Linked DNA regions of Arabidopsis thaliana. The protein of the gene in region 1 interacts with the protein of each later gene in a pairwise test. Each region holds a gene or a part of one and is shown in the gene's direction. Other genes may lie near its edges.

Evidence for each region.
Region 2: the proteins of TAFII21 (region 1) and TAF12 interact in a two-hybrid assay, tested with the Arabidopsis thaliana proteins (one study listed by BioGRID).

Annotation. Positions count from the first base shown.
Region 1 is NC_003070.9:20,213,399-20,218,944, reverse strand, and holds TAFII21 (TATA binding protein associated factor 21kDa subunit), read left to right. Parts: upstream 1-3,679; 5' UTR 3,680-3,810; intron 3,811-4,059; 5' UTR 4,060-4,075; coding exon 4,076-4,336; intron 4,337-4,578; coding exon 4,579-4,869; 3' UTR 4,870-5,046; downstream 5,047-5,546. Other genes in the region: NF-YA5 (nuclear factor Y, subunit A5), read left to right, coding at 239-697, 783-956, 1,071-1,364; SPL2 (E3 Ubiquitin ligase family protein), read right to left, coding at 1,642-1,918, 2,003-2,122, 2,305-2,426, 2,518-2,679, 2,768-2,866, 3,094-3,465; RSH3 (RELA/SPOT homolog 3), read right to left, coding at 5,184-5,495.
Region 2 is NC_003074.8:3,102,784-3,109,971, reverse strand, and holds TAF12 (TBP-associated factor 12), read left to right. Parts: upstream 1-3,145; 5' UTR 3,146-3,173; coding exon 3,174-3,749; intron 3,750-3,841; coding exon 3,842-4,000; intron 4,001-4,120; coding exon 4,121-4,618; intron 4,619-4,978; coding exon 4,979-5,053; intron 5,054-5,152; coding exon 5,153-5,231; intron 5,232-5,331; coding exon 5,332-5,396; intron 5,397-5,488; coding exon 5,489-5,524; intron 5,525-5,645; coding exon 5,646-5,777; 3' UTR 5,778-6,092; downstream 6,093-7,188. Other genes in the region: AT3G10090 (Nucleic acid-binding, OB-fold-like protein), read left to right, coding at 818-1,012; AT3G10080 (RmlC-like cupins superfamily protein), read left to right, coding at 1,600-2,496; AT3G10060 (FKBP-like peptidyl-prolyl cis-trans isomerase family protein), read right to left, coding at 6,171-6,198, 6,285-6,325, 6,401-6,478, 6,561-6,650, 6,730-6,804, 6,900-6,957, 7,083-7,138.

The DNA of each region.
Region 1 (5,546 bases):
TGTTGTGTAAGTTCTAGCCATGTTCAAAGTTTGAATCTTTTGGAACCCTTTAGATCATGAAACAATCTTACTGTGTCATTGAACCTGGAATCTGTGTTTTAGGATTGCTTTTATAATCTTTTGGTATCATTTCTCTCTTGTATTTGTTGATTATGTGGATCATGAATAATATCATATGATTTATGACTGGACTTGTTGGTTTGGACATTTAGTTTATTGAAGTAAAGATTTGAAGACAATGCAAGTGTTTCAAAGGAAAGAAGATTCATCTTGGGGAAACTCAATGCCTACAACAAATTCAAATATTCAAGGATCTGAATCTTTCAGCTTGACTAAGGATATGATAATGTCTACAACACAATTACCCGCGATGAAACATTCGGGTTTGCAGCTGCAAAATCAAGATTCAACCTCATCACAATCTACTGAAGAAGAATCAGGCGGCGGTGAAGTTGCAAGCTTTGGAGAATATAAGCGTTATGGATGCAGCATTGTTAATAACAATCTCTCAGGTTACATCGAAAACTTGGGAAAGCCTATTGAAAATTATACTAAGTCAATTACTACCTCGTCGATGGTGTCTCAAGACTCTGTGTTTCCTGCTCCTACTTCTGGTCAAATATCTTGGTCTCTTCAATGTGCTGAAACGTCACATTTCAATGGTTTCTTGGCTCCTGAATATGCATCAACACCAACGGTAATATGCTGTGAAGCCTTTTGTGCTTTTACTATTCTGAATCGATCTGGCGCATTGATTGGTTGATTGGGAAATCTTTTTGCAGGCGCTGCCACATTTAGAGATGATGGGTTTGGTTTCTTCAAGAGTGCCATTGCCTCATCACATTCAAGAGAATGAACCAATATTTGTCAATGCGAAACAGTATCATGCGATTCTCCGTCGCAGGAAGCACCGTGCTAAACTCGAAGCTCAGAACAAACTCATCAAATGCCGTAAAGTATGACTGTTTTCACTTTCCATTTTGCCTAAAACACCAAAGAGAAAGAGGGAAAACTAACTCAGAAGATCTTGATGATTTGATGTAATAAAGTTTTGTTTTCTTTTTCTGTAGCCGTACCTTCATGAGTCTCGCCATCTTCATGCTTTAAAGAGAGCTAGAGGCTCCGGTGGACGTTTCCTCAATACAAAGAAGCTTCAAGAATCATCAAACTCACTGTGTTCTTCTCAAATGGCAAATGGACAAAATTTCTCTATGAGCCCTCACGGTGGTGGAAGCGGAATCGGGTCTAGTTCGATCTCACCGAGCTCCAATTCAAACTGTATCAACATGTTCCAAAACCCGCAGTTCAGATTCTCAGGTTATCCGTCAACACACCATGCCTCAGCTCTCATGTCAGGGACTTGAGGCACATGAGAAGACCTTGCTCCGAGAGAACTCAGGCTAAACTCCGGAGACTGGTGATGATACATGACGGGAAGTCATCCTTGGCTACTTATGTTATCGGTTACAAAATTTCTTCCTTTTAAAAACTTTGCTTTCATATCCTCTACAATCTCTCACTCTATATTGAGTGACTTGACGAACTTTCAAATCATTGTCAAACTATTTTGTTAACTTCCGATTCTCTGAGAGTACAAATTGCATTACCCTATTACATACAATGAGAGAAGATTCAGGGTCACTAAGAGTAATATACACGCATAGATCCCCTAATGCTCTGAAGACAAACTGGACACTTAGGGTTTAACTCTCGTTCCACGGTTGAAGCACATCGCCTGCAACATACTACATGTCCACAGGGAATAAACGCAGGTACTCTCCTTCTTGACACGCAGATCACACACAATTCTCCATCTGGGATTTCATCTGCATCTTCGGGTTCATCATCGACCACAGAATCGTTCGGTCTCTGTGGCAGTTCTCTCTGATGGTTCCATTGTTTCCATTTATTCCAGGTCCTGAAGATAAGACAGTTAAACAGATTTCAAATCGAAACATTGCCCAAATCTAAAACCAAATCTGATCTCTCACAACTCCAGTACCTGACAGCAGCATAGCTAAGGATGCCAACAGACACAATGCCCAAGATAACGCTGCCCAAGAATATAAAGTTGGTCTGTTCCATAAGGTCCTCAATCATCTTGTCCTTGGTCATCTCTGATCTGCAAAGATTATTCATAAAGATTTATATATGAACAGCAAATAGAGCCTTTCTGCAACAATGGACTAAATCTTGTCAAATGATCAACAGATTGAGAAAACATAAAGAAGAAGATGAAGTAATAATTTGAGCTAGAACGCAGGCAGATATATAAGAACGAAAAATATTCAGATAAAATCTCACAAGAAATAAGGAAGATCTTGGCACGATTTGATTTCAGGAACTCCATTATTAAAACTGTAGATGCCAACAGCTGTTATATCTTTCCCAGGTGGTAAAATCTTCTCTATATCAAGCAGACCAACCTTGGAAGAGAAAGGATTACAAAGTTAGCCAAGAACAAGTAACCATCAGTTCCTCAAAACCAGAAATTTCTTTGAATATATATATACTCACAGGATAATCGGGGTACAAAAAGGCTTGAAGAAACGAAGAATTAATAGGCTGCAAGCGATTATACACAGTGGTAAGCGGAAGAGGTTGCCTTGAGCCATCCATGTTAACAGCGACAAAACTAGAGTTCGATTGCTGATCCTTTCCAACAATGACAAATGGGACCTGCACAAAGCAAAGGATACACAAAACAAGTTTGATCATGGATACAGAGCCAAAGTTGAAAGCTCTGAAGCTGATAGAGAGACTTTACCGTTCTCGTAAAATCAGCACCGTGTTTGCGCAATGATCTCTCCAACATAAACCGGTGACCAGTGGACTGAAACAATCTCTTCCATCCACTATACACATACTGTCAACAACAAAATGATGACATTAGAAACATACATTTCCCTTCTGAGATCACACCAGTACCAACTTACATAATCCTAACTTAATCAATCACAATGAACACCTAATCATGAAGAAATCATCCAAACTCTTTAACCTAAGCCTTTGATAAGAACACAAAGCAAAATTAGGTCAATGTCAATTGCAATTTGAGGGAAACATAAACACTTAGGGTTTAGAGCAACGTACAGTTTGCGTTCTCTGAATGATAAGAGCTTTATCTCCAGTCTCCGGAGAGATTAACACGTTGTTGTTCTTGTAACCCTCATCACCGGAAATTTTCGGTTTGACGACTCCGCGAACCACAACGATTCGCTGATCATTGCTCTTCCTGTTATCGTTAGTCTCTGATTTGTCTTCAGAAGCCGGAAGCAGTGATCGGAGGTCGGAAATGGAGACTTCGGGTGCATCTTTGATCTTCTTCAACGCGGCGTTGGTAGAAGCATACTTGAGAGCAGAACCGACGGCGCTAACAGCTAAAGTCAGTCCGAGGATTGCGCCGTCGAAGGAGAGAGCGATGTCCGTCAATAGATTCAAGAGAGCACGCTCCGGCGAGGACATTGTGGTAATTTCGATTTCAACGTCGTAGACACGGTCACACGGACAAGTAAACGGAAGAGAAATGAGGCTATTATCGGTATTTAATATTATACATTCGACCGTCGTTCTAATTTGGGTCTTTAATGGGCCTATGCACGAGTGAAATACAAAATACTAGTAATAAATAGCGTTTTAGTTAAATTACATTTACACCCTCAACGTTACAGCAGATTTACAAACCAAAACCATAAATATCAGATCTAGAGTGGCAGAGATTAGTATTTCCCGATTCCTCGCCGCCGTTCATCAATCTCTCCGTCGTGTTTCTGCCACTAGCTCTCCACCAAACTTTCTCTCTCGCATTAGGTATTTATCGCCTCTTTATGGCATATAATCTTGTGTTTTGGAACTTATTGATGAAGCTAGGTTAGAATCTCCTTTGTCTTTCTTATCTCCGATTCGTGAAGCTCTAATTCTTATTTATTCGATTTATGTAATGTGTTGCTGTTACACGATGTTTGCTTGTGAGATTCGATTGAAACTTGTGTTGTTGCAACATCAATTCTGTATAAGAAAGGTTCTTAATTTGACTCTGTAGCTTTACTTTTTTTTTAGTTGTTTAGGGATAAACATGGCAGGAGAAGGTGAAGAAGATGTACCTAGAGATGCTAAGATTGTGAAATCTCTGCTTAAGTCGATGGGTGTAGAAGACTACGAGCCTCGTGTGATACATCAGTTTCTGGAGTTATGGTACCGGTATGTGGTCGAAGTGTTGACAGATGCTCAGGTTTACTCAGAGCATGCTAGCAAACCCAACATTGACTGTGATGATGTGAAGCTCGCTATTCAATCCAAAGTTAATTTCAGCTTCTCACAGCCTCCTCCAAGAGAGGTATGCATTGTTGACGATTCCATGTTTCTTCTTCTTCATTGTCTGAGAAGAGATGCGATATGATCGGTCATTTGGTATATGTGAATCATTAGGGAATTATCACTCTTACTTATGACTTATGAACTGTGTGTGACCCTCTTGCCTCATAAATTGTATCACTGAGAACCTCAAGTTTTTGTCTGTCACATCCATGCCTTTTGGTTCCTGAATCTTGAAGTTTCTGTTTTTGATGTTTGATTTAGGTTCTGCTTGAGCTTGCTGCAAGTAGGAACAAGATACCTCTGCCAAAATCGATAGCAGGACCCGGTGTTCCACTCCCACCTGAACAGGACACATTGCTGAGCCCAAATTATCAGCTCGTGATACCGAAGAAGTCGGTTTCAACAGAACCTGAAGAAACCGAGGACGATGAAGAAATGACAGATCCTGGACAGTCCTCTCAAGAACAACAACAGCAGCAACAACAAACCTCAGACCTTCCAAGCCAAACTCCTCAAAGGGTCTCTTTCCCACTCTCTAGACGACCCAAATAAGTACCCAAATAAGTAGATAGACCAAAAAATCTATAATATTTATGTATCAACAAGTAGAAATGTAACACAATCAAAAATTAATGACCAGAGCCAGTTTTTATGGACCAGATCCAGATGTGTGGTTTGAAGATTTAGAATGTAAGAGAATCAAATATTAATGACCAGAGTCAGTTTTTTAGAACATATAGGCATATCTTATATACACTGTTGTGTGGGAATCAACAATACCGAAGGTACAACAAATCTTCTGAAGCATTATACTATATATGCAACTATAGTATATATACATGAACAAAGGTAATTAAGAGAATCAGTTAGCTTCCCCAGCCAACCATGGTACCAGTAGCTGCACGGTGAGGCCGTGAAAACGCAAGCCCTCGATCATACATCCGCTGAATTTCCTCTCTGTATTCAGTCAGAGACTTGTCAGGTATGGCTGGAGTCAGCTCCACCACATCTCCCATCTTCAGCTTGCATTTCAGATCACTTACAGGTGTCTGGTTAAGTCTTGGCCTTAGCTCTTCCTTTGCCGGGATGCTGTACATTGACCATCTCGAGCTCCCTGGTCCTGCTCTGCGTAACAGGTCCGACACGGTAGAATTCTCGGGAAACTCTTGCACAGTCATCTGCATTTTCGGGTTTATCAAATTATAACTCCAAGCAAAGAAACATCCTCA
Region 2 (7,188 bases), on another chromosome or scaffold:
CTCTTATCGCCGCTAAAACTCTCTACCCATCGCAGAGCCTCTCTAAAGGTTATCTTCATGATCTCACTCAATACATATGTTTCGTTACTATATGTTTTTGCTTCTGATTGTCGTTATTCTGTAATCGTTTAGAGTCGTTTATGGTTTCCCCCATTTTGTCTGTAATGTCCATGCTCTGTTTCTTTACAGTTTCCTCTCCGGCTTGTTAGATATCAGTTTAGTTCCTGATTTACTGAGAAACCAAGCTTTTGAGCTTAAGTATGTTAGGGTTCTGACGTTGATTGAGAAATATTATAAACTGGTTTTCAAGTTTATTTCTTTCTGGAATTTCTTTTGTAGTCTGATTATAAGGTACACTGCTAGATATACTGGATAGGTTACAGTCTCTTACTACTTATCCTTGTCTCTGTTCTTTGGAATCTATCTGTAGGATTCTCTCTTTCTTGTTAGATTTATGAGCCTAGTTTCTCACTCAGTTAAATGAAACCTGATATATACAATCGTCTTCTAGCTTCTTAACTCATCAGGTGTTGCAAATTTGTAAGTGCTGTTTGGTTCTGCATTTTGCAATTGATCATTAATTGAGAAGTTGTTAAAAATCATTAGATGATGTGATCTTTAAGTTTTTTTGCTTTTACTGATTAGTGTTTTTGTAGTGTTTTCTCTGCTTTGTTTGCATCTGTTGTTCTCCAGAGCTGTGATTGGTTTATAAAGGTTATACAGTCTTGATTCAAATGTGAACAATTCTCTTTTTCTAAGGATTTTCACTTCTTTTGTAAAATTTGGTCTCTGAATGTTTTTGTTTTGTTGAATCAGAATGGATTCTCAGATCAAGCACGCTGTTGTAGTGAAAGTGATGGGAAGGACTGGATCAAGGGGTCAAGTGACTCAGGTTAGAGTGAAGTTCACTGACTCGGACCGTTACATCATGAGGAACGTTAAAGGACCTGTCAGAGAGGGAGATATTCTCACCTTGCTGGAGTCCGAGAGAGAAGCTAGAAGACTTCGTTGATTCTCTTTGCAAATTGTTTTTGGTTGCTTTGAAGAACAAATGTTATATCGTTTGGATAATTAAATTCTTATTATGATGTTAAAAAATTTAATTATCAAAGATTGATGCTTTAGACTCTAAATCTATAATATATTAAAAATCATTTCTTTATCTTCACTTTGTTTTTTTTTTTTTTTTTTTTTTTTTTTGAACTAATATCTTCACTTTGTTATATCAAAGAAATAAGTCATGTTTCACACTCTGCCTAAACCTTTACCACCGAAAAAATGATGTTCATGTGCCTCTCTAATCATGCCTTGGAGATAACAAAAAGCTTAAGCAACAAATTCATCATTTTGAATATCATGGCATGCGCACACAGCACGCCTTATACGGGCCCCTGCTTCAGCCCAAGACATAGATTTGGTTATGCCTATACCAAAATTACATTATAAACCGGGATTGACACTAGGATCCGAAACCTTGGACTCCAGTTATATTTCCATTTTTATGCACAATTGTATTAATTTGTAACTATGAATTACATAGACGAATAGTAAATTCATAAGAGATGTGTCAATCAAGCCACAAAAGGGGTTTATCAGTCAATGTACCGGCCTAACCACTCCCATAACCAAAACCACATATCCAAACGTGGTTTTTCATTTGGTACAAAAACCCACACCTTAATTTCACAGACGAAATTTTGGTTGATAAAAAGTAACCATCTTAACCAGTCTCTCATTTACCCCCACCAGATATACATATGCTTATTTAAACCGGATGTAACACAACTCTTCTTCACATGGACCTCAAGTAAAATGGAAGCAAACACTTTGTTTCTTCTAAAAGCTCTTTGTCTTCTTTGTTTTAATGTATGCTTCACATTAGCTTCCGACCCTGATCCCATCCAAGACTTCTGCATACCAAAACCTGTGACATCTCCTTACCATGACCATCACTTCTCCACCAATCTCCCTTGCAAAAACTCCTCCGAAGTAACCACCGAAGATTTTGTCTTTTCCGGTCTAAAAACTGCCGGAAACTTCACGGAGACGGGGTTCGCCACCGTCCCAGTAGGCCCAGAAAACTTCCCCGGCCTTAATACATTAGGCATCTCGTTTGTCCGGGCTGATCTCAAACCCGGATCCATTAACCCACCACATTACCATCCGCGGGCGACGGAAGTAGCCCACTTGGTTAAAGGACGGGTTTACTCTGGTTTTGTGGACTCGAACAATAAGGTTTACGCTAAAGTGATGGAAGAAGGAGAAATGATGGTTTACCCAAAAGGGCTTGTACATTTTCAGATGAACGTCGGAGATGTTACGGCCACGATTGTCGGCGGACTTAATAGCCAAAACCCTGGTATTCAGAAGATACCGTCCGTGGTTTTTGGGTCAGGGATCAATGAGGAGTTGCTTATGAAAGCTTTTGGGTTGAGTCTTAAGCAGATTGGTACGTTGAAGAAAAGATTTGATCCTGTCATGTCTAATGAACATTGATGTTTTCTCTTAAAGTCTTATCGAGATTATTACATCGAAGTTATCTTTTATGTGATGGTAGTTCTTGATCATAATGTTATTTATATATTTTGACCCAAACAATGGTCATCTTTAGCTAGACAATGTTTCTTTCTACATGAATTATTATCACTTATCCACACTTCACATTTAGAATCCTGAATTATTATCACTAAACCTACATAATTTTGGCAACGTCACAAGCTTTGAAAATTTGACAATATCTTCTCCAATCCACAAAATATATCAAAATCAATGCCAGTTCTTCTTTGCTATAAGGCTCTAAAGGCTGCAAACAAATCTCCAATTTGTCGTGACACTAGCTAATTTGATCGCTGTGTACTCTTGAGTATGTGAGAAAAAGACCAGAGACTTTGACACTAGTTAACTTGGAAGCTACATTTCCAGCAATAGAAGAAACTTGCTATCTGAGCATAATGAAACGCTGCGTTTTAACTCTCATTTATTCTTTGGGGTTAAACTCATCGTTTTAATCACACAACAGAGAAAAGGAATTGTTAAAGCCGGTCCGGTATTAATAATTATCGAGCTTTGCAGTTTCGGTTCACTTGTTTAATACCGTACCGACAATTTCGGTTTAATTAGATTTCTATATACTCAATCAATATCTCTATTCCCTCCACATTCACAACCTTTTCATGGATCAGCCACGGCAAAGCTCGACGGCGTCTCAGCCACCGGAAACACCTCCTCAGCCGTCGGATTCGAAACCATCGACTTTAACACAGATTCAACCAACGCCTTCCACAAATCCGAGTCCCTCCTCCGTTGTTTCCTCTATTCCCTCTTCCCCAGCTCCACAATCACCATCGCTCAATCCAAACCCTAATCCTCCTCAATACACGCGTCCGGTGACATCTCCGGCGACGCAACAGCAGCAACATCTCTCCCAGCCTTTAGTACGGCCGCCTCCGCAGGCGTACTCTAGACCATGGCAACAACACTCCTCTTACACTCACTTCTCCTCCGCTTCGTCGCCATTGTTATCTTCCTCATCAGCGCCAGCCTCTTCGTCTTCGTCTTTACCTATTAGTGGGCAACAAAGAGGTGGTATGGCGATTGGCGTTCCGGCTTCCCCAATTCCGAGTCCTTCTCCTACACCTTCTCAACATTCGCCTTCTGCTTTTCCCGGCTCTTTTGGGCAACAATACGGCGGATTAGGTCGTGGAACTGTTGGAATGTCAGAAGCTACGTCCAATACAAGTTCCCCTCAGGTGGATTTTGTTCTCTCATATGTGCCACATTTCAAAGAATTGTGCTCTGTTACAAAAAAAATACCAACTTTTTTCTGTATGTGTGTGTTCAGGTTAGAATGATGCAAGGAACTCAGGGAATTGGGATGATGGGAACACTTGGCTCAGGTTCCCAAATAAGGCCGAGTGGGATGACTCAGCACCAACAGAGACCAACTCAATCGTCTCTAAGGCCAGCTTCCTCCACAAGTACCCAATCTCCTGTTGCTCAAGTATGTATTTTTTACCCTTCTGGCCTCTGTATCTTGACATAGGAACTCCAGCTTTGTGACTCCTTTGTTAACAACAACTTTGTTTGCACACTTTAATTCCTTATATTTTACTTTTGGCAGAACTTTCAAGGACATAGCCTTATGAGACCTTCACCTATTAGCTCTCCTAATGTCCAATCTACTGGTGCATCACAACAAAGCTTGCAAGCTATCAATCAACCTTGGTTATCATCTACTCCCCAAGGGAAGCCGCCTTTGCCACCTCCTTCGTATAGACCACAAGTAAATTCTCCCTCTATGCAACAAAGACCTCATATTCCTCAGCAACATATTTCTACGTCAGCAGCAACTCCACAGCCTCAGCAACAACAATCTCAACAACAACATCAGCCTCAAGAGCAACTTCAACAATTGAGATCTCCGCAGCAGCCTTTAGCTCACCCACATCAACCAACCCGGGTCCAAGGTTTGGTAAATCAGAAAGTTACTTCTCCGGTAATGCCGAGCCAGCCTCCTGTGGCTCAACCAGGAAACCATGCTAAAACAGTTTCTGCAGAGACCGAGCCGTCTGATGATCGTATCCTGGGGAAACGAAGCATCCATGAGCTACTTCAACAGGTATCCACTGACCTCTCTTCATATTCTCAACTTTGGGTAGCCATTTTGCATATTGACCAGTATTCTCATTCTCACGCTTGATTCTTACTTAATGTGTGATTGATTTCTTCTACTTGGATAGATCTCTTACAGATAAAGGGGAATGTATTTGATAAAAATAAAATAGAAGAGATATTGAGTTATTTGCTAATAATACCTCCCATAGAAAGCCAAAAAGCATGTATGATGACTATTGACAGATTCAGTAATAACATATATCGATAGTTTTAGGGGCTACTTTGATGGTGTTCAACACTGAACTCTCTGCATGATATCCATTGATTTTTTTCTCTAAATTTAAAATGCCTTGTCTATCCACAGATTGACCCGTCAGAGAAATTGGATCCAGAGGTTGAAGACATCCTTTCTGATATTGCTGAAGATTTTGTGGAGTCAGTAAGTAGCCCACACCGCATTGGTTAAGAGTCAAACATTTCTGTCCTGTGATGAGTTTTTTTTTTCTAACTCCTGCTCGTTGTGTTTCCTTTAACCCAGATCACAACTTTTGGCTGTTCTTTAGCCAAGCATAGAAAGTCAGATATTCTAGAGGCTAAGGACATCTTGCTCCATGTTGGTTCGTTCTGATCAATATTATCTACCTGCCCGTTTTCTTTCAATTTCTCATTCCAATTACAATGAGTAATTTCTTTTTGGTATCTTCTCCTTAAATGTAGAAAGAAACTGGAATATTAGGCCTCCTGGTTTTAGCAGTGATGAGTTCAAGACATTTCGGAAGCCAGTAAGAATTAGAGATCTGCATTTTATCAATTCGTCTTATTTACAAAATAGTTCCTAACATCTTTGGTTGTTTCCTTGGATAATGTTTTGCAGTTGACAACAGATATTCACAAAGAGCGACTTGCGGCTGTAAGTTTTAACACATGATTTTAAACATCCTAATAGTATAGATTATGGTTCTGAGTAGAAGAGAAACTTATATATTGAAGATTTTCTTGTTGATTTTGTATATACATTGTGGATTTTGAAGATAAAGAAGTCGGTCACGGCAACAGAAGCAGCAAACGCCAGGAATCAGTTTGGGCATGGGACTGCTAATGCAAGAGGCGGTCAGGCAAAGACACCTTCTAATCCCATGGGCTCTACAACTTTCAATCACTGATGTATTAGATCAACCCTCCAATCGTGTTTGGTAGGAATTTTCCATTAAAAAGGTACGAAATTTGTATCACCCATTTTGTACCCTATCTAGATCTCACAGTCCAAGATAACTACAGGCATGGAGGCTAGGCTAGATCTTAATTTTAACCATTAGTAAAGTATCTTACCACCTCATGGGATTGAATTGATTCAATGTTTTGCAAAACGGCCAAAAGTGTATGAATTGAGTGATGAGACACAGTTATAAAGCGGTTACAAAACCGGACTAGCCGGTATAATCCATTAAACAGATTCTTCTCATACAGTTGAATCTTCCATAGCTTTGATCAATTTTATAGTTTTTTACTGAATGTACACAGAAAATCTTGGTACAATGTTGGCTTCATTAGTCCTTTTAGCCTTCAACTATCTTCACTGGCGTCCTGCAGAATAAAACCGAAAAGAAAGCTTTCAGGGCACTTTTTTCGATCAAATTTACCCAGTGTATTAGTTGATTGATTTCACATACCCGAAAGGACTCTGCTTGATTGATAACAGCTCAATGTCAAGCTGCAAAAGAAAGATAACATAAATGAACACCACTTTAGAAGCCAACAAAAATTTCAATCCATTCAACTTGGTTACCTCTATCGTAGCGTTTGGAGGAATCTCTTGCACTCCTTTCTTCCCGTAAGCCAGCTCGGGAGGAACAATCACCAATCTCTGTATATAAACCTCATAGGGTCATCAAAACAAGACTTTGAGTGGCCTGACTTTGTGAAGCCTTTCGGTTTCAAAAACTAACCTGACCGCCTACACGCATCCCTTCAACACCAAGATCAAGTCCTTTCAGAACATTGCCTCTCTCTGATTGACCAACGTCAAACCCATAAGGCTGCAAAAATTCATTATTATCAGTAAAGGATCCTTGCATATTCAAGTACAGTAATGGACTCTGTAAGATTGCCTTATACCGTTCCACCTCCAACACCAAGTCCTTGTCGACTTGTCATGAACGTTATCCCTTTCCATTTTGCAACATAGTGAACCTGCGACACAACATTTGGGTTAAGCATCAACGCTTGTTAAAACTGTTAGCATTTACATGTCCAAAGTAAACCAGGAAACGTATTCACAACCGTACTGCGACCCGAGATCCTTTCACAGCCTCTGCTCCATTGCCAACCTTTATATCATAGTACCTGCCACAATATAAACAGAAACCAAACTTGTGATTATTGCGAGAAAGACTTGATTTTTCAATCCTGTTTTGCGGTATGAGTACTGTATCGAATTCAAACAAAAGATGATGCATTGGATTACGGACTTGAGACCATTGGGGAGAGTCGTGAAATCGCTTTCCGGTAACTTGGATGCACGTAGCTGCAGAGAATTGTATGTAAGAGATTGAGTTTTGAGTCAAGAACACAATG